7 linked regions of the Sus scrofa genome follow. Each later gene encodes a partner of the first gene's protein in a complex. Links are inferred from orthologs where the notes say so. Each region holds a gene or a part of one and is shown on either strand. Other genes may lie near its edges. The genes, in order: MED26, MED13, MED19, MED8, CCNC, MED4 and MED21.

The links.
Region 2: MED26 (region 1) and MED13 share a complex: the UniProt entries of both Homo sapiens proteins name them as parts of the mediator complex. The link is inferred for Sus scrofa from reciprocal best matches to the Homo sapiens genes MED26 and MED13.
Region 3: MED26 (region 1) and MED19 share a complex: the UniProt entries of both Homo sapiens proteins name them as parts of the mediator complex. The link is inferred for Sus scrofa from reciprocal best matches to the Homo sapiens genes MED26 and MED19.
Region 4: MED26 (region 1) and MED8 share a complex: the UniProt entries of both Homo sapiens proteins name them as parts of the mediator complex. The link is inferred for Sus scrofa from reciprocal best matches to the Homo sapiens genes MED26 and MED8.
Region 5: MED26 (region 1) and CCNC share a complex: the UniProt entries of both Homo sapiens proteins name them as parts of the mediator complex. The link is inferred for Sus scrofa from reciprocal best matches to the Homo sapiens genes MED26 and CCNC.
Region 6: MED26 (region 1) and MED4 share a complex: the UniProt entries of both Homo sapiens proteins name them as parts of the mediator complex. The link is inferred for Sus scrofa from reciprocal best matches to the Homo sapiens genes MED26 and MED4.
Region 7: the proteins of MED26 (region 1) and MED21 are in contact, whole or in part, in a cryo-EM structure (PDB 7EMF), measured with the Homo sapiens proteins. The link is inferred for Sus scrofa from reciprocal best matches to the Homo sapiens genes MED26 and MED21. Residues at the interface, in NP_004822.2 of Homo sapiens: Ser481, Arg482, Asn483, Glu484, Ile485, Ser488, Tyr489, Ser491, Arg492, Ser495, Leu496, Ser498, Ser499, Ser500, Leu528, His529, Ser535, Pro537, Thr538, Asp539, Leu540, Pro541, Gln549, Asp551, Leu552, Ile555, Gln556, Trp560, Gly562, Val563; in NP_004255.2 of Homo sapiens: Ala2, Asp3, Arg4, Leu5, Gln7, Asp10, Ser14, Gln18, Asn21, Gly24, Val25, Gln28, Cys29, Tyr54, Leu57, Phe58, Leu61, Arg64, Thr65, Lys67, Asp68, Val71, Leu72, Asp74, Ser75, Leu76, Pro77, Ser78, Glu79, Glu80.

What each region holds. Positions count from the first base shown.
Region 1 is NC_010444.4:61,032,706-61,036,161, forward strand, and holds the end of MED26 (mediator of RNA polymerase II transcription subunit 26), read left to right. Parts: intron 1-182; coding exon 183-1,835; 3' UTR 1,836-2,956; downstream 2,957-3,456. UniProt on the Homo sapiens protein: Component of the Mediator complex, a coactivator involved in the regulated transcription of nearly all RNA polymerase II-dependent genes.
Region 2 is NC_010454.4:36,413,741-36,417,240, forward strand, and holds part of MED13 (mediator of RNA polymerase II transcription subunit 13), read left to right. Parts: coding exon 1-90; intron 91-1,437; coding exon 1,438-1,629; intron 1,630-1,845; coding exon 1,846-2,069; intron 2,070-3,500. UniProt on the Homo sapiens protein: Component of the Mediator complex, a coactivator involved in the regulated transcription of nearly all RNA polymerase II-dependent genes.
Region 3 is NC_010444.4:13,239,974-13,244,110, forward strand, and holds the start of MED19 (mediator of RNA polymerase II transcription subunit 19), read left to right. Parts: upstream 1-1,337; 5' UTR 1,338-1,466; coding exon 1,467-1,734; intron 1,735-4,137. Other genes in the region: TMX2 (thioredoxin-related transmembrane protein 2), read right to left, coding at 874-1,062. UniProt on the Homo sapiens protein: Component of the Mediator complex, a coactivator involved in the regulated transcription of nearly all RNA polymerase II-dependent genes.
Region 4 is NC_010448.4:167,860,079-167,864,162, forward strand, and holds the start of MED8 (mediator of RNA polymerase II transcription subunit 8), read left to right. Parts: upstream 1-1,284; 5' UTR 1,285-1,315; coding exon 1,316-1,393; exon of another isoform or gene 1,394-1,455; coding exon of another isoform or gene 1,456-1,461; intron 1,462-2,942; coding exon 2,943-3,061; intron 3,062-4,084. Other genes in the region: protein SZT2, read right to left, coding at 1,113-1,139. UniProt on the Homo sapiens protein: Component of the Mediator complex, a coactivator involved in the regulated transcription of nearly all RNA polymerase II-dependent genes.
Region 5 is NC_010443.5:66,496,955-66,500,902, reverse strand, and holds the start of CCNC (cyclin-C), read left to right. Parts: upstream 1-1,148; 5' UTR 1,149-1,923; coding exon 1,924-2,156; intron 2,157-3,948. UniProt on the Homo sapiens protein: Component of the Mediator complex, a coactivator involved in regulated gene transcription of nearly all RNA polymerase II-dependent genes.
Region 6 is NC_010453.5:19,564,637-19,567,415, forward strand, and holds the end of MED4 (mediator of RNA polymerase II transcription subunit 4), read left to right. Parts: intron 1-1,615; coding exon 1,616-1,788; 3' UTR 1,789-2,279; downstream 2,280-2,779. UniProt on the Homo sapiens protein: Component of the Mediator complex, a coactivator involved in the regulated transcription of nearly all RNA polymerase II-dependent genes.
Region 7 is NC_010447.5:46,729,909-46,733,381, reverse strand, and holds the end of MED21 (mediator of RNA polymerase II transcription subunit 21), read left to right. Parts: intron 1-827; coding exon 828-942; intron 943-1,493; coding exon 1,494-1,594; intron 1,595-2,498; coding exon 2,499-2,675; 3' UTR 2,676-2,973; downstream 2,974-3,473. UniProt on the Homo sapiens protein: Component of the Mediator complex, a coactivator involved in the regulated transcription of nearly all RNA polymerase II-dependent genes.

The sequences.
Region 1 (3,456 bases):
AATTTAAATGCCACGAAGGCTCCAAATCCTCATAGGTTTTGTGTCTGGGAAGCCAGTGGTTTAGGGCCCAGTGTGAGGTCATTTCAAAGACATGGGGTGCTCCCCGTCATTTCTCACTCAGCTCCCTTTTTCATGAGGTTTCCCTGTCCTATAAGTGTGTCATCATCTCTCTCTGGCTGTAGGAAACTCGACTTGGGAAGCTCATCAACGATGTCCGCAAGAAGACGAAGAATGAGGAGCTTGCCAAGCGGGCCAAGAAGCTGCTGCGGAGCTGGCAGAAGCTCATCGAGCCCGTGCACCAGAATGAGGCCACACTGCGGGGGCTGGCAGGCGCCACTGGCTCAGCCAATGGGGGTGCCCATAACTGTCGGCCAGAGGCAGGGGCAGCTGGCCCACCCAAGAGCATCCACGACCTGAAGAACCGCAACGACATCCAGAGGCTGCCCGGGCAGCGGCTGGACAGGCTGGGTAGCCGCAAGCGCCGGGGAGACCAGCGTGACCTTGGCCACCCTGGGCCACCTCCCAAGGTCTCCAAAGCAAGCCACGACTCCCTGGTACCCAACTTGTCCCCCCTCCCCACTAACGGGATCAGTGGGAGCCCTGAGAGCTTCCCTGGCTCCTTGGACGGCAGTGGGCATGCGGGCCCTGAGGGCAGCCGCTTGGAGCACAGCGAGAATGACAAGCACAGCGGCAAGATCCCCATCAACGCCGTGAGGCCTCACACTAGCTCCCCGGGCCTAGGCAAGCCCCCCGGGCCCTGCTTGCAGACGAAGGCTGTGCTGCTGCAGCAGCTGGACAGGGTGGACGAGACTCCCGGCCCCCCCCACCCCAAGGCACCACCTCGATGCTCTTTCAGTCCCCGGAACTCACGGCACGAGGGCTCCTTTGCCCGGCAACGGAGCCCGTACACATACAAGGGCTCGGTGCCCAGTCCCTCACAGAGGCCCCAGTCGCTTGATGCCACACAGGTGCCATCACCGCTTCCGTTGGCCCAGCCATCCACACCCCCTGTGCGGCGACTGGAGCTGCTGCCCAGTGCAGAGAGCCCGGTGCGCTGGCTAGAACAGCCTGAGGGCCACCAGCGGCTCTCAGGGCCAGGCTGCAAGGCAGGGCTGCCCCCAGCCGAGCCTCTCCTGCCCCGGGCAGGCTTCTCCCCAGACTCCTCCAAGGCAGACAGCGATGCTGCCTCCTCCGGTGGCTCGGACAGCAAAAAGAAGAAGAGGTACCGGCCTCGTGACTACACGGTTAATTTGGACGGGCAAGTGGCCGAGGCGGGCGTCAAACCTGTCCGGTTAAAAGAGCGGAAGCTCACCTTTGACCCCATGACAAGACAGATCAAACCTCTGACCCAGAAAGAGCCAGTGCGGGCCGACAGCCCTGTGCACACAGAGCAGCCCAGGACAGAGCTGGACAAACCCGAGGCCAAGGCCAACCTCCAGAGCCCTTTTGAACAGACGAACTGGAAGGAGCTGTCGCGCAACGAGATCATCCAATCGTACCTGAGCCGGCAGAGCAGCCTGCTCTCATCATCGGGTGCGCAGACCCCAGGGGCTCACCACTTCATGTCCGAGTACCTGAAGCAGGAGGAGAGCACTCGGCGTGGGGCCCGGAAGCCACACGTGCTGGTGCCTCACGGCCCACCCACGGACCTCCCTGGGCTGAGCCGAGAGGTCACACAGGACGATCTGGACAGAATCCAGGCCCACCAGTGGCCAGGGGTGAATGGGTGTCAGGACACACAGGGTAACTGGTATGACTGGACGCAGTGCATATCGCTCGACCCGCACGGCGACGACGGGCGGTTGAACATTCTGCCTTATGTCTGCTTGGACTGACCGTCCCGCGGGCTCTAAGTGCATTCCCACCTTGCAGTTAGCCGTGGAGGGTGGGGCGCCAGGACCCTGCCACCTCCAGTGGTTGGGAATCCAGGGAGTCCGGCCTGGGGCGGGAGGGAGGGGGCGAGAGTCTCTAGGTCTCTCCGTGCTCTTCCCTCAAAATTCTCCTTCTTTTGTGAAATGCTGCTACCAGTTTACTAACAAAATTGCAAAGGAAGGACCGTGTGGAAGGAAGGCCAGCAAAGTGAGTTCAGAACTCTATAGCAAACCAGCTATAAAAAGCGTTAGTTCCCCACCTCAGAAGAGGTGTGGACGCTGCCCAGCCCCCATGAGCTGGGACCTCAGTTGCAGGCAGGCAGAGAAAACCTGTGGAAGAGGTTACCTTTAACACAGCAACAGAAGCACGCATCTCATCTCTTTGCATTTTCTGTTTTTTAATGTGGCCCTGAGTGAGGCAGTGGGCAACACTGCAGCCTCTGTTTGCACCCCACCTGGCCAGCTTTTCCATCGTGGTGCCAGAAGCTTCTCAGCTATAGCAAGCTGCTGGCATCAGTCAGGCCAACTGGCCAGCAGTTTGACCCACACTCCATGGGCATCCACACATTTGTATCTCGTTTCAGTTAAAACCCAGTTTTTAAAGAAATGCTGCAAAATTTAAGTTTTCTAGAGTTTATTTTATCCCCCTTTTCCATCTCACCACCAGATGAGTAACTTTACTTTGTTCCTCCCTCTTCGTTTTCCCCTTCCTGCACAAATCTAGAAAAGTTCACCTTCCTAGAGTCCCTTCCTCCCCAAAAAAAACAAACAAAAAAAAAAAACAAAAAAAAAAACCCACAAAAGTAACCGCGGGTGCTACTGGTGTGTAAGCTGTACTGTTGGGTGAGAGGAGACCTGTCTGTACGCTGGAAACACTCATAACCATTCCTTTAGATTCGTTTGCCTTATGGTTATTTGTCATAAACGCGATTTGCAAAAACAAGGAGCCTTAGTGAATGTACAGTACCTAGACTTCTGTGTTCTCAGGATGCAGAAGGGAGCAACTTTGCTATTTGGTCCAGTAAGTGGACACCTTGTGATATAAATGTGGAAATAAAAGAAAAAAAAAAAAACATTTGCACAAACCAGTCTGAGAATTGTTTTTAATTTGGTCCTTTATAGCCATTATAGTCCTTTCTGGATTAGCCAAGTAGACATGGACCCTGAGTAGCCAGACTGTGGGGAGGAGGGCAGGGCAAAGTTGCCAAGTCAGCCTGTTAGCTTTCCACCTGGAGACTGACCCCTACCTTGCCTTTCATGCTTTCAGGGCCACGATGCTTCTCCCACATCAGGTCACCTCTTAGCTTTGGGTGACAAACTGAAGGGCCACATCTGTCTCCATCTATACCTCACCTTTCTCAGACAGAGAAGCCCCCCCCCCAGCAGGCTCTGCAATTCAAGTTTCAGTGACCTTGTCCTATCCCCTAAAATATTTGTAGTTCTTATACCACATGGTTCAAAACTCTTGTCTGGCTCCAGGCTCCAGGCTGGGCCCTGGCTCCAGGCTGCTAGCTTCCCATGCAGGCCTAGGGCTATCTTAGTATCTGGATGGGGTTGACTTAAACAAAAAAAATTTTTTTTCCCT
Region 2 (3,500 bases), on another chromosome or scaffold:
TCCAATGTGTGGACTTTGGGGTTACTTCGATGCTTTCTGGAAATGGTCCAGACTCTTCCTCCTCATATTAAGAGTACTGTTTCTGTACAGGTAAGAATGATAAATGTTAAGTTAAATTTATATAAAACATTTTAATGTTGACAGAAATTTCAAAGCTACTATTCTGTATCCATATTGATTTTGTAAAAGTTAGGTTCTATTGATTTTTACTTTAAGTGATACTATAATACAGAAATCTTAAAGAGTTTATAAAAGAACCTTGTGATCATACCGCAGTAATAATAGAGAACAAAAAGATTGCTTTGAGTACATTGTATGTTTCTCCGTGTTACTTTTTTAAACTAATTTTTAAATTCATAAGCTTAATTAGGAAAATTAAGAACAGACATGGAGTTCTCTTGTGACTCTGGGTAAGGATCTGGCATTGTCACTGCAGCAGCTTGTGTTGCTGCTGTGGCATAAGTTTGATCTCTGGCGAGGGAAATTCCACATGCCACAGGGGCATGGCCAAAATAAATAGAAAATTAAATTTAAAAAAAGGGACTCACAAGCTAGGGTACTAGATAAGATAGTTTGCAGGAAAAGTAGAGAGAAATTAGCCATATTGTTTGCAGAGAATTTGAATTTTTCTTATAGACCATAATAGTACTAGTCAATGGCAGTATTAAACAGTATAACTACTATGTAGAAATGTTTTAAAGATTTTTATATATTCCATTAGTAAAGTTGACTGTTTATTAAAAATCTATATCATAGGAGTTCCCATTGTGGTTCAGCAGTAACAAACCTGACTAGTATTCATGAGGACACAGGTTTAATCCCTGGCCCCTCTCAATGGGTTAAGGATTCAGTATTGCTGTGAGCTGTGGTATATGTTGCAGATATAGCTTAGATTTGGCATTGCTGTGGCTGTGGCATAGGCTGGCAGCTGCAGCTCTGATTCGACCCCTAACCTGGGAATGTCCATATGCCGCAGGTGTGACCCTAAAAAACAAACAATATCTATATAATAGATAAGAAAATATAATTCATTAGATTATCATCCTAAATTTAGTTTAAATTTCTTTTCTTTTTTCTTTTTTTTTGCCTTTTAGGGCTGCACCTGAGGCATATGGAAGCTCTTAGGATAGGGGTTGAATCGGAGCTACAGCTAGAGCTGCTGGCCTACACCACACACAGCCACAGCAATGCCAGATCCAAGCCATGTTGCAGCCTACACCACAGCTCACAGCAATGCCGGATCCCCGACCCACTGAGCAAAGCCAGAAATTGAACCCGCATCTTCATGGATACTAGTCAGATTTGTTTCTGCTGCACCACAACGGGAACTCCCTAGTTTAAATTTCATACTAAAAGTGTTAGAGTTTTAGACATATAGTTCTTTTAATTCTCTTGTTGAAAGCTTAACATTTGTAATATTTGTTTATAACTCTTCAGATTGTTCCTTGTCAGTACCTGTTGCAACCTGTGAAGCATGAAGATAGACAAATCTATACCCAGCATTTAAAATCCCTAGCTTTTTCGGCCTTTACTCAGTGTCGGAGACCACTTCCAACATCAACCAATGTGAAAACATTGACTGGTTTTGGTCCAGGTTTAGCCATGGAAACTGCTCTTAAAAGTCCTGATGTAAGTATGTTTTCCATGACCAAAGTTATTGAATGACTACATTTTATGTTTTTATGCCAAACTAAATGCAGGTCTCTGTTTAGCTCTCATTTTTCAGTTATCTTACACACACACACTCTCTCTCTGTGTTTGTGTTTGTGTGTGTGTGTGTATCTTCAATAAAATTTTTTTCTATGATTATATAGTGCCATAGTAACTTAATTTTTTATTTTACAGAGACCAGAGTGTATTCGACTTTATACACCTCCTTTTATTCTGGCTCCAGTGAAAGATAAACAGACAGAACTAGGAGAAACATTTGGAGAAGCTGGACAGAAATATAATGTACTTTTTGTGGGCTACTGTTTGTCACATGATCAAAGATGGATTCTTGCATCTTGCACAGATCTATATGGAGAACTTTTAGAAACTTGTATTATTAACATTGATGTCCCAAATAGGTACTTTTATTTCCTTATATGTATCATTTAAAATGTAAAAAAATTCATTTTTAAAGAATAGAAAATGGCTTATGGTGTTCTCTTGTGGCACAGTGGGTTTAAGGATCTGGCGTTGTCACTGTAGCGGCTTGGGTCACTGCTGTTGCACAGGTTCAGTCCCTGACCCAGGAACTTCCATATGCCACGGGTGCAATGAAAAAAAATTATAATAATAATTTGATTAATTTCTATTATGTAGACAAAAAAAGATTAAAGTCCCTAAATTCTATGCTATAAACCTTGAGGTAATGATTTTAGCCTAACAAATTTTGAAACATGAAACTATAAAGTCCTCTGCAAATTAAAATCTAGTAAAGTATTTTCAAATATTTGCTTTCTTATATACCATCAAAAATATAGTCCCTAATGAACAGAATGTCTTGCTTCACTAAAATGTTGGAGTATATTCTGAAAATAGTGGCCTTCTTTGTAGAATTCTTTTTTTTTTTTTTTTGGCCACACTCACGGCATGTGGAAGTTCCTTGGCCACGGATCTAACCTGAGCCATAGCAGTGACCTAAGGCACTGCAGTGACAACGCTAGGTCCATAACCCACTGCACTGTAAGAGAAGTCCATGTAGAATTCTTTTTTGTGTGTGTCTGTAGACATGTTTTTATTTGTCTTGTGTGATAACAGAGAAATTGTTATATCCTATGGGAAGTGCATGACTAATTTTTAAAAAACTGCCAAATTGTCTTCCAAATTGGCTGAACCACTTTGCATTCCTATCAGCAATGAATGACAGATGCTGTTAGCCAATATCTTTACCAGAACTTGGTGTAGAATTCTTCTTGATAGTAGTTAGATATGACCAGTTATTCATGAAGGCTGTAACTGATAGTTCACAACAGGTGAGCCTTATATTAAGTTGTCACTTGGTAGACACTTCTAACAACATATTTCAAGGCTAACAAACACTGCCTAAGGGAACTTGGAAAGTCCATGAAGTAACTTTTAATTTTCAGATTTGGTTCTAGTCTTTATTTTCTTCATTATATGATGTTCTGTTTTTTTAAGTTTAGAAGTTGGTTATATGCAAAAATATTTAATGATTATATTAGATTATAGTGGTGCTGAAGAAACAGTATAGAAACATTGATTTTATGTTACTGGTTATAAAGATTTATTGACTATCTTAGAAACCTTAAGGCAGTATTTCATACCTTATTTCCTTGATATAGTTTTGATTTTTTAAAAAATGGGATAGTTGTGCTAATTAAGTGAGCTCTGGAGAGAGTAATAAGCTTATCTGTGAAGGATGAGAAAGAATTGAAAAAGAATAATACCACCTTTCTAATACAAGACAAATTGCTGTTTTACTGAAAGTAGGAATGAGATGATGGTTAAGACATACAGCTCTCAGAGTTCCCGTTGTGGCGCAGTGGTTAACG
Region 3 (4,137 bases), about 48 Mb from region 1:
CATGAGCTACTTAATAACACTGGGAAAGAACGGCGGAAGTACGAAAAAGTAAACAAGGGAAGGAGAATAAAAGTAAGGAAGTAAGTTCTGTCAAAAGTCAAGACTCATTCTGGGACCTGGAAAAAAAAAAAGACAAAAACTCAGGAAGGCCCTCCTTCCTCGTAACACAGATTCAGCTATACAGAAGGGGGCACAGAACTTCATCTTATTTTTCTGAGTGGTCCTTCCACTTCTACTTAGGAAGTACTGCAAGAGAGTTCAGATTGATTTCTTTACAATGAATTTTTTTTACAATTCCATTTCAATAGGCCTAAAACTTTATTCATTTTTACATTCTCAGGATGCAGCACAGTGCCTAGCATACAGTCCTCCCTCTGCAGTTGTTAACTGAATTAAAATGACTGATGGTGCTGCTGCTTTGGCCAGAAGAGTGGTTTCAAGTCCCAGCCACTCACTAGTTGTGTGACCTTGGACAAGTCTCCTAACTACGCCGAGATCAATTTCTTCATCAGTGAAACGAGATTACTACTACTTGCCTTGTTTACCTCACTGATTCCTCAAGAGGCTTTACATAACGAGAGCAGCACTGTAAAACAGTGCAGATGCCTCGTTTGGGTAGGTACGAATTGTGAGACGGAAAGGACCTTGGACTCAGGAGTCAGAAGACCCCGGCAGGCTAACTCGCTGTATTCCCATCTTAAACGTGAAGAGGTTTACACTCGACGACCGCCCAGGCTCTAGATTCTTAATAGCTTAAGTCCGCTACAGGTTGGGAACCTCAGGTGTTCTCAAACAGGTGAACCTCGCATCTCGTAGATGCAACCTAGGACAGGGTGTCAAGGTCGCGGGGTCCTAAGGCGGGGGGTCGCTCACCCAGTCAAAGTCACACGGGTTGCCGTCTTCGCGTTGCGTGGGGAGATTGTAGCAGACAGGGGGCAGCTTCCTCACGAGTAGGAAGGCAGCAGAGAGGAGGGCTGACAGAAGGTAGTAAGGTCGGGCCAGCCATCGTGATAGTCGAGGTATCGAATAAATAAGAGCAATTAAAGGCGCGAGAACCGCCATCTTCCCGGCTCTAGCGGCGCCAGCCGCTCCACGGAGTCCGTGAGCCTGGTCCCGCCTCTCCCATCATTGTGCTTCCATTGGGCCTAGTCTCGGATGCACCGCCTCTAGATCCGGAAGCAGATCTCTGACTGGCTTCTGCGTCAGGTTAAAAATGGAGAAAGGGCTTTGATATTTTATTGGCTAATCTAGCTGTCTTTTTTTCCACCTAAATCGTTTTATTGGACATATGCGACTGCGGCAAGTAGGAGATACAGGAGAATTTAAATAAAGTTAAATAGTACTTCCGGAACGTTCTCAGAAGGCGACGGAAGTAGTTGCAGGAAGAAGGTAGGAAGGGCCCGAGGCAACCCAATGGTGAGAGGCTCCTGAAAGAGGAGGGCGGTACTCTGTGAAAAGATTGACCAATGAACGTCACCAACGCCAGACACCGAGACAGCGCCGGGGCGGAGGAGGCGATGGAGAATTTCACGGCGCTGTTCGGAGCTCAGGCTGACCCACCACCGCCCCCGACCGCACTTGGCTTCGGACCTGGAAAACCTCCACCCCCACCGCCTCCTCCTCCGGGCGGGGGGCCGGGCCCCGCCCCGCCCTCTACCGCGGCCACAGCCGCTCCCGGCTCCGACAAGTCAGCGGCCGGTTGTGGCCCCTTCTACCTAATGCGGGAACTGCCGGGTGAGTACAAGGCCTGGTCAAAGCCAGCCAATCAGATCATAGCGAGGAGAGGCGGGGCGTGGCTCTCAGCCTTCCGACTGGGGTGAGGGGTAACCTAGGCAACGCGTGGCGCGATTTCGGAACACTATACTAGAAGAGGTTCTGAGGATTCACAACCGAAAGAATGATTGGAATTGGGATGGATTAGGGGTGGGAAGAGAGTGGATCTCCCTGACCACCTTTCACGCCCGATCCTGCCCCTGACGCTGGTTTTTGACTCCCTAAAGATTATCCTAGCTTTGAGTTTGGTATTTGAGGGTCCTGATTTAACATCCCTGCGGACCCAGTTCCAGATCTGCTTCAAACTTCCTGTTGGTTTGGGACATGTTGTCTTTCTTCCTCTGGGCCTCGGGGTTTCAAAATGTGTTCGAAGAAGTGATTAGAATTAAACCAGGTTCTTTCATTCAAAAAATTATTTTGTTGCGCACCCACTCTGTGTACCAAGCACTCTTCCAATTGCTGAAGATACAGCTGTGAACAAAACTGACAAGATCCTTGCCTGTTTGGGAGTTTACCTGCCAGTGGAGGAGTCAAAGAGTGATAAACAGATATCTGCGGATAAACAGATAGTATCAGATAGTGGTTATGGCTACAAGGGGGAAATGTGATAAAGAATTGAGGGGGCAGAACTGCTTTAGCTAGAGTGATCAGGAGAGCCCTTTCTGAGTAGATAACATTAGAGCTAAAATATAAGCACAAAGGAAGAGCTAGCCATTTATGAGTGGGAGGAGAGAGAACTCTAGATACAAAAAATGAGATTAGAAGGCCCAATGTGAGAATAACCTTGAATATTTGAGGGACAGAAAACCACTTGCACTCCGGGGAAGTGAACAGGGAAAGAGCGATAGGAGATGAAGGTGGGAGAGTAGGCAGAGGCCTCTATAAGACATTTTAAGTTCAGGGGGAACCATTTTGACACAAGAGTCTGAAGTGATCTAACTTCTAACTTATTTGCTTATTTTCAATCATTCGAGCAGCTCTATTAAGGAAGCAAAGTGGGGGAGTTCCCGTCATAGCACAGCAGAAATGAATCCGACTAGGAAGCATGAGGTTGTGGGTTTGATCCCTAGCCTCACTCAGTGGGTTAAGGATCCAGTGTTGTCCTGTGCTGTGGTGTAGGTTGCAGACGCAGCACAGCTCTAGCATTGCTGTGGCTCTGGTGTAGGCCGGCACCTGTAGCTCTGATTTGACCCTTAGCCTGGGAACCTCCATATGCCTTGGGTGCTGCCCTTAAAAAAAAAGAAGAAAAGTGGGAAAATTGGTCAGAAGTTACAGCTTAGTAGTTCAGGAAAGAGATGATAGTTTGAACTAGGAAATAGCAGTAGAGGAGAGAAGTAAATGGATGCCAAATAAATGTTAGAGGTAGAACTGACAGGAATGCAGGATTGAAAATAGAATTGAAGGACAGAGGAATTGAGGGCAGTTTGGAAATGTTTGGCTTGAATAATTAGGTGGATGGTAGTGCTAAGATCAGGAAAGGACAGGTTTGAGGAGATGGATATCAAGTCATTTTGGACATGTTAAGTCTCCAGGATGACATTTAGTTCATCCCAAGTCCTACTGCTACATCAAGAGCTGAAGGAGGGGAGTTCCTGTCACGGCTCAGAGGAAACGAATCTGACTGGTATCCATGAGGACACAGGTTCGATCCCTGGCCTTGCTCAATGGGTTAAGGATCCGGCGTTGCTGTGGCTGTGATTGTAGGCCAGTGGCTACAGCTCCCATTCAACCCCTAGCCTAGGAACTTACATATGCCACAAATGCAGCCCTAAGAGAGTAAAGATTTAAAAAAAAAAAAAAAAAGAGCTGAAGAAGGAGTTCCTACTGTGGCCTAGCCAGTTAAGGATCTGGCATTGCCACAGCTGTAGCAATAGGTTGCAGCTTCGGCTTGGATTCGATTCCTGGCCTTAGAACTTCCTTGTACCATGGGTATGGCCCAAAAATATCTGAGGGAAATGATTTGTTACAGACCTTGAAATTCACAGTGCAGTTAGATATGTTTTAGTGTTTAATACTTACAATAGCCCCTTGAAATAGGCATTGTTATCTGCTTTTTAAAGCTGAAAAACTAAAGCATAGAGAGGTTGACTTGACTTTAGTTAGTGATTGATGTCTACCAGCAGTTTATTTAACCTTAACTTATTTTGATTGTACCTATTTACATTAATCACTTGAATATCTGTTCTGGGCAAATCCTGGGTATAAAGGAGACATATGATGAGAAGAGGAGAGAGATGAGTAAGCCTGGTCCTTGTATTTTTTTTTTTTTTTTTTTTTGTCTTTTTTTGCTATTTCTTGGGCGGCTCCCACAGCATATGGAGGTTCCCAGGCCAGGAGTCCAATCGGAGCTGTAGCCAGAGCCAC
Region 4 (4,084 bases), on another chromosome or scaffold:
ACCATCCTGTGGCAACTGTACTGCTTATACTGGAAACATTATGACCACCATACTACAGCAGACCACCTGTTTGGGAGTCTTAGCTCCGCTACTTAACTAGCTGTGTAACTTTGTTACCCTTAACATTTTGTGCCTCCGTCTCCTCAACTGAAAAATGGGGATAAATAATCACGTCTGCTTCTTCGGGTTGAGGGTATCAACTGATGGGGTAAAGCAGGACGACGCGGCACGCATTCGATATGTTATGACAACTCTTTTGTGTCATTTCATTTCACACGTCTCTCACCCTTCCCGTCTATCATATTCTAATACTGGGCACCTTTCCTGGTGATGTTCTTTTCAAACCAGATCTTCTAACTTCAAAACTTTGCTACTCCCTGGCTGAGGGTAGCACTTGGGTAAGGTACTTAACGTCTCTCACTTTCCAGTGTCTTACATATAAATGAAAGTGGACACAGCCACCTTCCTTGCACAAGTCTGAATAACACAATGCAGATCAAGTTCCTTGCATGGTCCTCAACAACTAAGGGATACCTCATGTGCATTTTCTGGTTTAAAATATGGGATCCTCACAAAACACCCTAAGACAGGTGTTTAAGAAGCAGGAAACAGTCAAGCCTTGCCCGAAGTTGCAGAGATGGCTACAGGGCAGCACCAAACGAAGTGAACGACGTTTCACTCCGAATCAAAAAAGAATCTATATATGTATTTTCCCCACGAAACCGAAGCTGCCTTTCAAAATCATGGCGCTGGAACTAAATTAATTCATGCTGATTATGTCATTCTAATACGTGAAGATATGAAGCACCAGCAAAGTAAAATCAAATTGCAAAATCAAAATAAAGGCTTTGTTAATACCATTAGGAAGTCGGAGAACCCGAGGGCCCCAGAGTTGGCGACGTGAATGAAATCTGAGCAAACAGAACAGAGCGACGAGCTTCTCCTCCAGCCCCCCAAGGAAAGTGCGGACCGCGGGGTGAGGAGATGCAACTGCCGGGCCTTCGGGGCGACCCCCGCCGCCCCCAGACCCGGAGGAGGCCACGGCCGCACCCGGCCGCCGGCCCCTCCCCCGCGGATCTCGGGGACCAGCGCTGCGCCCGCCCGCCCCTCACCTCCGGCTCCGGGCGCTCCGAGGCCATCACACAGCCCTCCCGCGCCGGCCCGGGCCAGAGAAGCCCTTCTGCTCGTGACCCCTGACCCGGCTGCCTCTCGCCCGAAGGAACCGGAAACGAATGGGAGGATCGAATCCCAACTTTCTGATTGGCTGACTTGGAAACCGGAAAAGGAAGTGGTTGACGCAACCTCTGCTCCCGCGATGCAGGTGAGGACCGGGTTGGCGCTCGTGACCGCTACTCAGCGTCGGGGTACCGGGACGGAGAGTGGGCTGGAGAAAGTGAGGAGCTGGAGCTGAGAGGAGTGGGTAGAGTCATCGGCCGACGGCTAAAGGGACGCGGGATGGAGGCGAGGCCCACTGGAGAGGGAGCGGCACTGATGACAGATGGGGGTGGAGCCCGGCTGGGAGACCGAGACGGCCCCTGAGTTGGGAGGGGGAAGGCGGCACCGACTTGCTGGGGGTGGGAAAGGGTCGGTCGTTTGGGAAGGTTAAGATGCAGTCCAACGAAGACAGCTCAAGAAGGTGCCGCATTGGCTCAGGTCCCGGCCCGGGCTGTTGAATGGCCGCTGTTGGCTGCCGACACAGCAGAGGATCGATAACTGGAGAGAAGCCCGAGAGTGGAAGGAATTGTGGGGCCGCAGTGACAAAAGCCAAACTAATATAGTCTGAGGCCAGTGGCTGGAACCCGGAATCAAGGCTACTGTCTTGTATATTGGCGAGTTCGCAAGGCAGTTCTACCTCCTTCCTAGCCTGTGCCCTGTGGTAGTTAAGGATGAAATGAAGTAAAGATGAAGAACCAAGATGGACAGGAAATGCTTGGCAGACAACCCCTCACCAGCATTTAAAATAGTTTAGTACTTAGGGGCATGTGCATTTTTGTTTTTGTTTTTCATTTGTCAGTTTCTTGCACCTGGTAGTCTGTCAGTAAATTTTTATAGCTTGACTAAGCTTGTGAAAGGGGCACAGGAATTTTGGCACAGAGATAAAATGAGTGCAGGTTAATGGAGTTCCTGTCGTGGCTCAGTGGTTAACGAATCCAACTAGGAACCATGAGATTGCGAGTTCGATTCCTGGCCTCGCTCAGTGGGTTAAGGATCCGGCGTTGCCATGAGCTGTGGTGTAGGTTGCAGATGAGTCTCGGATCTGGCGTTGCTGTGGCTCTGGCGCAGGCCAGTGGCTACAGCTCCTATTAGACCCCTAGCCTGGGAACCTCCATATGCCACAGGAGCAGCCCTAGAAAAGGCAAAAAGACCAAAAAAAAAAAAAAAAAAAAAAAAGAGTGCCGGTTAATTCAGCAAAGAGCTTGAAACAGCAAATGCTGAGGACAGAGGAAAGGGGGAAATGGCCGTGGTGGTGGCAGTGGCAGGTGTTCAAAGGAACCTTCACATGTAGGTAGATTTTTCAGAAATTGTGTCATTGGCAGGAACAGCCAGGCTCCCAAGGCAGGTTTAGGACAGCAGAAGTCAGAGTACCTATGCTGCAGAGTGGCACAAGAGATAATGACCCCGAGGCATTAGGTCTGCTGTGTCTGCTCAGTGAGTGAGAGTATAGTGTATGTGATAGGAAACCAAGCACGGATTAGGGGTGATGAGAGAAAGGAACCAGCAGGTAGGAGGAATTAGGCCAGGCGAGTGGGTTGAAAGGTCTGAGGGTTGGTGCTGTCTATAACCCTGATACCAAAGATAGAAAACAGCCTGGCTCTCCCTGTGCCAGTGAGATCCTGTGTCACATGACTGGTGTTGCGCACTGTCATCCTGGCTTTTCAGCCCGCCTCTGTGGGCACCACCCTCACCCTCATCTGAGTAACATCCTATTCCTGTTGGTGCAGAGGGAGGAGAAGCAGCTTGAGGCATCATTAGATGCACTCCTGAGTCAAGTGGCTGATCTGAAGAACTCACTGGGGAGTTTCATTTACAAGTTGGAGAACGAGTATGACCGGCTGACCTGGTAAGCAATGCCAGGGCAAGCTGGGGAGGGCTCCATGGGTGGGGGGGGCCAGGTCACCAGGTGGATAGGACATTGCCAGTGATGTAAACATTTATCAGTTTGCAAACATCTTTTGATTTAAAAAGAGCTGAGTTTCCCAACGTGTAACACTGAAGTTGGCTTTGGGCCTCCCTGGTAAGGAAGCAGAGAAATGCCCAGTTTTCCAACTCAGGGTCTTTCTAGCTTTTGATTCTCACCCTCTGATGTCTCTGGGAGGAGGTCCTCCCACTTCAGTATTCATATGGGATCTCTTGCCTTGGACGTGGCTGAGTCTTTTAGGTCCAGTCTACTTTGAAAATGTAGATCCTATATTTAGGTCGGAAAGGAGGCTTTTAGCTAGTTTCTGAAGTTTGAGTGATAACAGTGGAGCTATGGTTCCTGTTTTGCCGCTGTTCTCACCCCAGTCAAATACAGCAGCCCCCCTTTATTGGTGGGGGATAAGTTTTAAGACCCCCACTGGGTGCCTCAAACTGATAGTATCAAACCCTGTACTGCATATACTACTAACTGGATGGGTATTGTACCAGCAAAGATAGGCTGGGCAAAGCAATGATTAACATCCCAGCTGGGACAGAGCAGGATGAAGCCAGAATCCATCACACTACTCAGAACAGTGCCCAATTTAAAATTATAAATGGAGTTCCCGTCGTGGCGCAGTGGATAACGAATCCGACTAGGAACCATGAGGTTGTGGGTTCGGTCCCTGCCCTTGCTCCGTGGGTTAACGATCCGGCGTTGCCGTGAGCTGTGGTGTAGGTTGCAGACGCGGCTCAGATCCCGAGTTGCTGTGGCTCTGGTGATGGCCGGTGGCTACAGCTCCGATTGGACCCCTAGCCTGGGAAGCTCCATATGCCGCGGGAGCGGCCCAAAGAAATAGCAAAAAGACAAAAATAAAATAAAATAAAATTATAAACTGTTTACCTCTGGAATTTGCCATATGGTATTTTTGGACTGTGGTTGACCACAGGTAGATGGAACCTCAGC
Region 5 (3,948 bases), on another chromosome or scaffold:
GTAGAAACAAAGTGTAATACGGGCACACAGAAAAAAACATCTAACAATGCAAATTTGTTACAGTATTTCTGAAAGATATTAGGATGACCAAACAAACAAACAAAAAACACCTTAGGGAGTTGAAGAAATTCTGAACCTCTGTTGTTAAGTAGCATAAGGGCTGGTATTTCTTCAGTTCCCATGTTTTAAACTTTTTTTTTTTTTTTTTTTGGTCTTTTTTTAGGGCTGCATCCATGGCATATGGAAGTTCCCAGGCTGGGGTCAAATCAGAGCTGCAGCTGCTGGCCCATGCCACAGCCACAGCAATGCTAGCTCTGAGCTGCATCTGCGCCTACACCACAGCTCACAGCAACGCTGGATCCTTAACCAACTGAGCAAGGCCAGGGATCAAACTTGCATCCTCATGGATACTAGTCTGGTTCGTCGGTAACCCACTGAGCCACAACGGGAACTCCCATATTTATTTTTTGTAAGATTCACCTGTAGAAGACCCTTGTAATTCAAAGCCCCCTTGCTTAAAGATCCACTGAAGTTGAAAGATGGAAATATGCTAGATCCTTCAAGATCGGAGGACATCCACTAATGGGTGCTTTCTTCTTCTTCTTTTTTTTTAATGGGTGCTTTCTAACCTACATCACTTTATGGGAATGAAGTGCGACATAAAATACTAAGCTACTAAAATTCATTTCAGGAGTTCCCATAATGAACCCGACTAGTATCTGTGAGGATTCTGGTTCAATCCCTGGCCTCACTCAGTGGGATAAGTATCCAGCATTGCTATGAGCTGCGGTGTAGGTCGCAGATGTGGCTCAGACCTAGCATTTCTGTGGCTATGGCTGAGGCCCGCAGCTACAGCTCCCATTCCACCCCTGGCCTGGGAACCTCTATACGCCTGGGGTGCAGCCCTAAAAAAAAAAAAAAAATATATATATATATATATATATATATATATATATATATATATTTCATTTCACATCCTGACCAAGTACACATATACATATGTAACTGAATCAAAAATTATAAATGCCCTTGATATTTCTGATATACCTGATATTTTTATCTAGGAAAATGCATATCATATTCAATTTCACCACAACCTAACTGTGTGAAAAATACTGTCTTGAGCTTCCTCGGAACACTGATCATCCGTGAAAAACTTTATTCGTGTGTGTCCAATGATTCAATTAGCAGCTTTACAATAAATGCAATGTTACAAAGATAAAAGAAATTGCGTAAAATTAAATGATTGTTTTGGTTGTATGTTTCTATTTGGTACACACACAAACACACAAAGCTGTCAGTCTCTGGCATTAAAAAAAAAACGTACTGCTGCTCTAAAAGTTTGTGCTTCCCTCCAAAAGAACTCCATTAACTACATATCTGGCTTGGTGCAGCTCGGTTTTGGTAGGTCCTTGAGGCTACAATAATCTTTCTCTTGCCAAAAGCAAGAAAAGGAACTGAAGTCAGGAAATCTTATACTTCACTACAAAGCCACCGCACTGCTTTGGAAGTCTGCTCCGAACTGGGGTGGGGAGCAGCGTCTTCCCCTTTTCCATGCCCTTCCCGCAAAGAGCAGCGACTGCAGAATACCGAGCCGCCCGAGTTCTAGGCCGGAACCCACTGATTCTAAGCCGGAACCGGCGCGAAACTCTCGCGAGAGGCTCCCGACCGCCGCGAGCCGCGAGCCTTCCAGTTACCGTCGCCTATCTCAGCGCGCCCAAAGACTGTCTCCTTCCCGCCAGCCTCTTCCACTGTCGCGGGGCAGGCCGGAACCTTTATCCATAGGAACGGGTTTACAAAGTAGAGTGTTGCCGGCCGGCGGCAAAGAGAATAGGGTGCCATCCTCTTCCTCTCACCGTCGCCGCCGCGGAGCGAGCCCAGCAGATTAGATCGAGGAGCGCGGTTACCGGTTGGGCTGGGTCTATGGTCGCTCTGTGGGCCGCTCCACCGGCTGGTGCTTTTTTATCAGGGCAAGCTGTGTTCCATGGCAGGGAACTTTTGGCAGAGCTCCCATTAGTAAGTGATCTTACGTCTTCTCGTCCAGGGCGGGCTCTTGTTGGGGGGCGGTGTGGACCGGGCCTGCGACTCTCCTTGGCCTGGATCCCTGTCCCAAGTTCGGTGGAGTCTCCCGGGAGGTGGCGGCAGCCGGAAGCGAGGTGCGCTTTTCTCTGGCGACTCTCCTCATTCCGCCCCCTGGCCGGGTTTCGCGGGGGGGGGGGGGGTCCTGTCTCCGGAGAAAGAAGGTTCGAGAGTTTAATTTCGGATTCTTGGATTAGCTCGGCGGAGGCGGGGTGGAGGGGGTGTGGGTGGAGGAACCAGGCCGGCGGCAGTTGGGATGGGGTAGGCAAAGGTTTTGCAAGTGTGGCACAGTTCGGAACTATGAGACTGGCTCTTGAGGACTGTTGTTCCCTTTTGCCTGGTATCTCTTCAGTGGATTGGCATCGTAATCTTTTGTCATTCTGCTCACTAACCGCTTCCTGCCACTACCTTAAGCCTAGGTGGAGTTTTATGTTTGTAAGGTATAGGGCAAATGCTCTCAGAACTTATTTGCGCCTCATGTTCTGTTTAATAAGTGTATTTTCCAGTGACTTTGCCAATATCTTTAACCTTTTTTTCGTGAGTTTTTGTGTCTGTCAGTACCATGGAAGAATTAGAGTAATATTGAAAACAGTTCTCCCTAAATAAGTTTTTTTAAGCATGTACGAAAGAGGATGATGGGATTAATTGAACATTGGCTAGACTTTGCATTGTGTAGTTGAAAAATGAACAGATCTGATAAAGATGATATGGTGCAAATAATTTTTAATGCCAGGAGAGCATTAGTAACTAAATTTTAAGTTTGAAGAAGATGGATTTCTATGTTGTTCCTTCCGTCTTTTAGCCGTTTGACCTAGAAAAAAGAAACAATGGGCTTTGATATCTATTTTCAGAAAAGCAGGCTTTCTTCCTATAAAGTGATTACGTGAAGATGAGATGGTATAGAAAGAAGCTTTATTTCTGATCACATTTTTATTTTGCACTGTTTTCACTCACTGAAATAATTTGGACAAAATTAAAATACGGAAAATTTAGATAGTGAGGAAGAGGCGTTCTGATAAGCTTTGAAAAAAACTGAGAGAATTGACAGGTCACTAGCTGTTGATTATCAGAAGTTCACAGACCTTAAAAAAAAAGATCCTACCTCCTTTTGATAAGCATTCTCACTCTGTTTTCATTCGCTGTTGGTCTATCAAAAGGGTGCCAAGATCCATTTTATAAAACCAATTGTATTTTCACCTTTCAAATATAACATTATTATAATATTAAATGTGCTTTTTTGAAACTGTTTTTGCCTGCCAGTTCCATTAGTCCTGGAGGACTCAAACCCTTGAAAATCCGGGATCCCTGATCTGCAAAAGATAACAAGTGTAAAGGACAAAACAACCAGTTCAGGAAGAACAAAGAGATATGAAAGCTATTGTTGATATTGTTGTTGATTTTGGTGAGGGAGGAAAATTGACATGATATACACTATTTTTCATGGCTTCAAATTACCCATTTTAATATTTTTGCAATCAGCATAACAATTTTTTTCTTAGTAGCACATGAAATAATAGTGAAATCTTACAATTAGCATAATATCAAATTTGATGATATGTGATGTTTCTTGGTTTATCTTCCATACTGCATGCTGTGAGGAAAAACTTTAAAATATTTGCCTGTGATACTTATCTGTTTAAAAATATATAATGACTGTGGAAAAGAAATTAATGATAATTCTGAAACAGAACAAATCAAAGTATTTTCTGGAAAGTTAAGGTAGAACATAACACCTTCTTTGACCATGATGTGGTAAAACTAGAAGGACACTAAATATTTGCTGGTTGACTGAATGAAGTAATGAACAAGTAATAAAAATTAAAACTACAAAACCAACTCTGGATACTTTATTATATCAAAGAAGAAATT
Region 6 (2,779 bases), on another chromosome or scaffold:
GACTTCTCAGTAACTAAGCCCTAAACTTAGCTTTTTAAAATGAAACATGCTTTATAAACAGAGTAAGATGTATGTTCAGTTTAAAGAATACCAAGTGAACACTCTTATGAATAACCCTCAAATTAACAAAGTGAATAACAAAGCTTTTTATGGACTTTTTTGTAACTAAATAGAATGTCATTTTTGTGAGACTCATACTGAGCTTCACCCTTCCTCAGGCTTCACATACAGGTTTGTACTGTTGTTATATTTTACGTTCCCTATCTTTCTTTTTTTTTTTGGCGACTTGTTTTATTTTTGACCTGGCAGAATATTTTTAAAGTTTTTTTTAAAACCATGAAAAAATTGCTTTTTTGAGCAATTACTTTTAGTATTTTACATATTTCGTTTATTCCCGTTTTTTGTTTGTTATTTCTTTTAGGGCCACACCTGTGGCATATGGAGTTTCCCAGGGGTCTAGCGGCTGGTCCACACGCACAGATCTGAGCTGTGTCTGTGACCTACACCACAGCTTATGGCAATGCCAGATCCTTAACCTGCTGAGCAAGGCCAGGGAACGAACAAGCAACCTCATGGTTCCTAGTTGGATTCGTTTCCACTGTGCCATGACGGGAACTCCCCCCTGTATTTTTAACGTTGTTATAAATGCTCTAGATAATGCATGACATTTCATTGTAAGGCTGTCCCTCTGTTACTAAAAATGCTTTTTATAAGCACCATTTTTGTTAATTATTCAAGGTGTAAACTGAGAACTCATTGGGCATTAGTTTCCCTTGGAATCACATTTTTCATTGTGACTATACCGTATCATATGACATAAGCCACTCACAATCCAGGCAGGAGGCAGAAACCACACTAGCAATATGAACAAGGAGAATTTAAAGAATTACTGACTAGTAACAATACACTAACTACTGGATGGTAAAGAGAACTGTATTTTTTTGGTCTGTTTTTAGGGCTGCATTTGGAGCATTTAGCAGCATATGGAGGTTCCCAGGCTAGGGGTTGAATCTGAGCTGTAGCTGCTGGCCTATACCACAGCCGTACCAGATCTGAGCTGAGTCTGCGACCTACACCACAGCTCACAGCAACACTGAATCCTTAACCCACTGAGTGAGGCCAGGGATTGAACCTGTATCCTCATGGATACTAGTCAGATTCGTTTTCTCTGGGCCATGACGGGAACTCCAAGAACTGTATTTTTCAAATGCAGTAATAATAGATACAGGGCCCCTTTTTTAGTATAGTACATATATTAGCTGTTTATATCACGAGGGAATATATGGAGAGTAGTATATATGACCTATTATATGTGCTTAAATATATACAGACATATGAAATATTTGGAAATTGTGAATGTCTTGTAAAAGGAAAATTAATGGCAGTTGACTATGAATAGTGGCTATAGTAAAGTGTGATTTAAAAAAAAATAAACAGATTGTGGTTACTAAAACATCACATTTTTCCTTGATATATTTGATCTTTCATTAATTTGGTCAAATGTGTATTTAGACTTCAGCCTTAAAAATTTACTTCATTTTATTTGCATGAAGGAAAGAGTAACTAAGAAGTAAATTGAGTTGAAATGTTCTCACATGGGCTTTCTTTTCTTCAGATGTTCTTGCCCCCCAGTATCCGTGGCAGTCAAATGATATGGCAATGAATATGTTACCACCAAATCACAGTAATGACTTTTTGTTGGAGCCTCCAGGGCACAATAAAGAAAATGAAGATGACGTAGAGGTCATGTCAACAGACTCCTCAAGCAGTAGCAGTGACTCTGATTAAAGAAAATGTGACAAAAAAAGCATACAGAATTGAATATTATAGAAATCGGCTTCTTAAACAGCAGCAAACCTTTAAAAGCCAGGTGATACTGTAGTGAAAGTGTGCCATCGTTAAAAATTATTGTGGACTTTTTGAAGCCAAAAATCATGGTTTCGTTTCTGAACCACTAGGGGAATAGAGAAAAACAAAATTTACCGTTGGAATAAAAAGATTAGTCAGTTCAGTGCCATCTTAGTTGGAGTTGTACATAGTAGTTCTGGAAATAAGATTTGAGGGACATGACCCATGTACATCACTAATAGACCTCTTGTTATTATGAAAAGCGTAAACAAAAGGCAGTAGATCGCTGAAAATGCAACATAGCTCAGAGTAACAGAAAACTCATTTGAAAGTGAAGGCTGTTAGCTTTTGTCACAGGAGAACTTGCCTCAATTTGTACTGTTTGTAATTACTGTATTTTTTGTAAATAAATACACTTGTTTGGAATTTTACCACTGTATCTCAAATCAAATTGTTGTGTACATGCTTACCTGGTTATCTGTACATCTTTATAACCACTCATCCAAAACCCTTGGGTCTCAATGTTTCCTAGAATTTGGGTTTTAAAAAATACTCTGGGAGTTCCTGTTGTGGCTCAGTGGAAAGGAATCTAACTAGGAACTATGAAGTTGCGGGTTTGATCCCTGGCTTCATTCAGTGGGTTAAGCATCTGGTGGTGTTGTGAGTTGTGGTGTAGGTTGCAGTTGCAGCTCAGATCTGACATTGCTGTGGTATAGGCCAATGGCTACAGCTCTGATTAGACCCATAGCTGGGAACTTCCACATGCAGCCCTAAAAAGCAAAAAAAAAAAAAAACTCTGGAAAGTTAACAGGAGATATATATATCGTATGTTATATAATGAAGAGTCATCTTATAAATTAAGCACATTTAACTTTCATATTCAGGTATATTTCACATACACATTATTTTTTTTTCCTGTCTGCTCTGGCAT
Region 7 (3,473 bases), on another chromosome or scaffold:
GGTTTCAGTAAGGGTTTGTTATTCTTGACCTTTAGAACTTTTAGAGCACTAGAAGTTTATAGCTTGAGTCCTGGAGAAAAAAATTTTGTTTTGTTGTTTTGGTCTTTTTTATTTAGGGCTGTACCAGCAGCATACAGAAGTTCCCGGGCTAGGGGTCAAATTGGAGCTGTAGCTGCCGGCTTATACCATAGCACAGCCACAGCCACTCTAGGTCTGAGTTGCATCTGCCGCCTGCACCACAGCTCGTGGCAACACTGGATCCTTAACCCACTGAGTGAGGTCAGGGGTTGAACCTGCATACTCATGGATACTAGTCAGGTTCATTACTGCTGAGCCACAATAAGAACTCCCAAGAAAAACATTTTGGAATACTTAAGGTGTGGTCTTTCTCCCACCATTTCTTTATAGTTGTAATTACTCTGGTTTCAGAAAAGGAATCATATGCCTTGGAGTCAAATTTTAAAATTTACCCTGGGGTAAATTTTAGATATTTGCCTGTCAGATTTGCTTTTTTCTACCACTGTTGCGCTAAAAGTCTTAACTTGTGCTTGCAATCAGTATTGGCATATATTTCTGTTATCATTCTGTTATCTCGGGAAGAAAAATAATTATTTTGTGTTTCTCTTTAACTGTTGCAACTAAATAAATGCCAAAGGAAGTTTCTTTGCATGATTAAAATATTTCGTTGTTAGTAACTGGCTTAATCCAGGATTTATCATATTTTATTCTCTTGCTCAGTGATCATTATAGAAACATCATCAATGCCAATAAAATCCTGAAAGCTGATAAATCCTTTCTAATTTTGCCACATTTCTTTTGGCCTGTAGCTTGCAGATCAGTTTTGTAATGCCATTGGAGTGTTGCAGCAGTGTGGTCCTCCTGCCTCTTTCAGTAATATTCAGACAACCATTAACAAAGATCAGCCAGCTAATCCTACAGAAGGTAAATAGATTTTTTTTTTTTTTTGGCTTCTTTTAATTTGACTCTCCCTCATTGCCTTTAATCCCATAAAATTAGATTTATTGAAAAATTCATCTTATTCACGGCTTTCTAAAAATGTTATTGTTAGAGAATGTTACTACAAGTTTGTCATAAAAGAAATAAATTTTTGTTAGTTTATATAACACCTCGTAGTTCTTTTTATGTTAAATAATGGATTTTTTACTCCTTTAGAGGAGAATTATATGAATTTAGCTGAATTTTACTTCAGGGACCTTAATAAGAAAGGCATCTCATAAATTCCTTTATTCAAATGATCATCAAATTGTCCTGATACATAATGTACATTATGCTTGATTCCTAACTTGAGTTAATGTTAAAGCTGATTCTCAAACATGTAATAGGATTAATGTGTTAAAATTACACCTTAATCATTAGAAGCCTAGGACAGAAAAAGTTAAGAAGTTTTTTTGTTTCATTAACTTAAAATTTGATTGCTGTTTCTATAAACTTGAGGTTCTCAAATACCCTAAATGAGTACAATCTTTCTCTAGAATATGCCCAGCTATTTGCAGCGCTGATTGCACGAACGGCAAAAGACATTGATGTTTTGATAGATTCCTTACCCAGTGAAGAATCTACAGCTGCTTTACAGGTAAAAATCTCTTTTTCTGGAGTTCCCCGTTGTGGCTCAGAAGTAGTGAACCTAACTAGTATCCATGAGGATTCGGGTTCAGTCCTTAGCCTAACTCAGTGGGTTAAGGATCTGGCATTGTGGTGAGCTGTGTGTTGGTCGCAGATTCGGCTTGGATCCTGTGTTGCTGTGGCTGTGGTGTAGGCTGGAAGCTGCAGCTCTGATTTGACTACTAGCCTGGGAGCTTCCATATGGTTCAGATGCATTTGAATTAAAGGAGATAGCTTTAGTACCCTTTTTCCTTTTTTAAAGAAATTTTTTTTTTTTTTTAATTTTTGGCTGTGCCTATGCCATGTAAAAGTTCCCAGGCCAGGGATTAAACCTGTTCCACAGCAGTGACCTGGCCTGCTACAGTGAGATCTGTATCCCACTGTGCCACAAGAGAACCCCTTTAATTCCTTTTATTATAATATTAAAAGGTACTCTCAATTTTAAAATGGGAATTTTATTGGAAACTACTGTAGTCTATTAAAGACTGCACTGAATATGTATAGTTGTCCAATTTTGAGTTATGAGGAAACTTCCCATTTTCCTCAGTTTGATTCTTTTCCTTGGAAAGAGTGAGAGGAAGGTAGCATTCCGGACGTGGAATAGAGCATAGTGTCTAAAAGCAGTGTGGAAAGGAGTCTCCTATAGCAATCTAGAGAGCTCTCATTGAAAAGTCATCTTTTAAATAGTTCATACAGGGAAAATTCTCAAGTTATATCTGATCTGAGGATTTATGCCACTGAAAAATCTATCACAGTGGTTGCACAGTCATCCAGATTTAGAAGTAGGTACTTCCACTGCAGTTTATTTCCTTAGAAGGAAATAATCTCCAAGTTTTTCATTTGTCAAAAGATTCTTAAATTTATGTCTTATAAAGGCTGCCAGCTTGTATAAGCTAGAAGAAGAAAATCATGAAGCTGCTACATGTCTGGAGGATGTTGTTTATCGAGGGGATATGCTTCTGGAAAAGATACAGAGTGCCCTTGCTGATATTGCGCAGTCACAGCTGAAGACAAGAAGTGGTACCCACAGCCAGTCTCTTCCAGACTCATAGCACCAGTGTACATATCATGTGGCCAAGAAGAGAACTATTTCAGTGCCGTTAAGAATTCTACATCAGATTTAGATGTAAGCCTTATCGATAGTTAGAGAAACATTAAGCACTATGACACGTTATCTTTTTAGCTATTTTTAATAGTCTTCTATTTTCATTTTTAATAAATAAGCTTGTAAAATTGTGATTGAACCAGCTTTAAACTGTCATTATGCTATTATTTTGTATTTTGAGTGAAATTATTGAGGCAGATATTGCACTTACAGTCAGAATATAATTAAACAGATGTACTATAGAATTCTATTGTGACATAATTTGTCTTTATTTTTGTCCTGTTTCTACAGCCTGTACAAGTGAAAACATCCCCCAAGCTAGAGAAGAAGATGGTAAATGCAGAAATGGTGGATATTTGAATTTAGGTTGATATCCTTCTGCCTCTTTAAAAGTGACATTGTAGAGTTCTGGTGCAGTGGATCGGGGATCTAGTGTTGTCACTGCAGTGGCTTGTGTCACTGCTGTGGCAAGGGTTCAGTCCCTGGCCCTGGAACTTCTGCATGCCACGGGCACAGCCAAAAAGAAAAAAATAAAATAAAGGTGACATTGTATAAATTTGGAGCTGGAGCAAGGAATGGTTCTGAAAACCACATTGCTTTTTAAGAAGCAGAGAGTGTGGCCAGATGAAAGATTAAGTCACTTTTGTGGAAGCTTTTTCTTCTTTTTCTTTCTTTCTTTTTTTTTTTTTTTTTTTTTGGTCTTTTTGCCATTTCTTGGGCTGCTCCTGCGGCATATGGAGGTTCC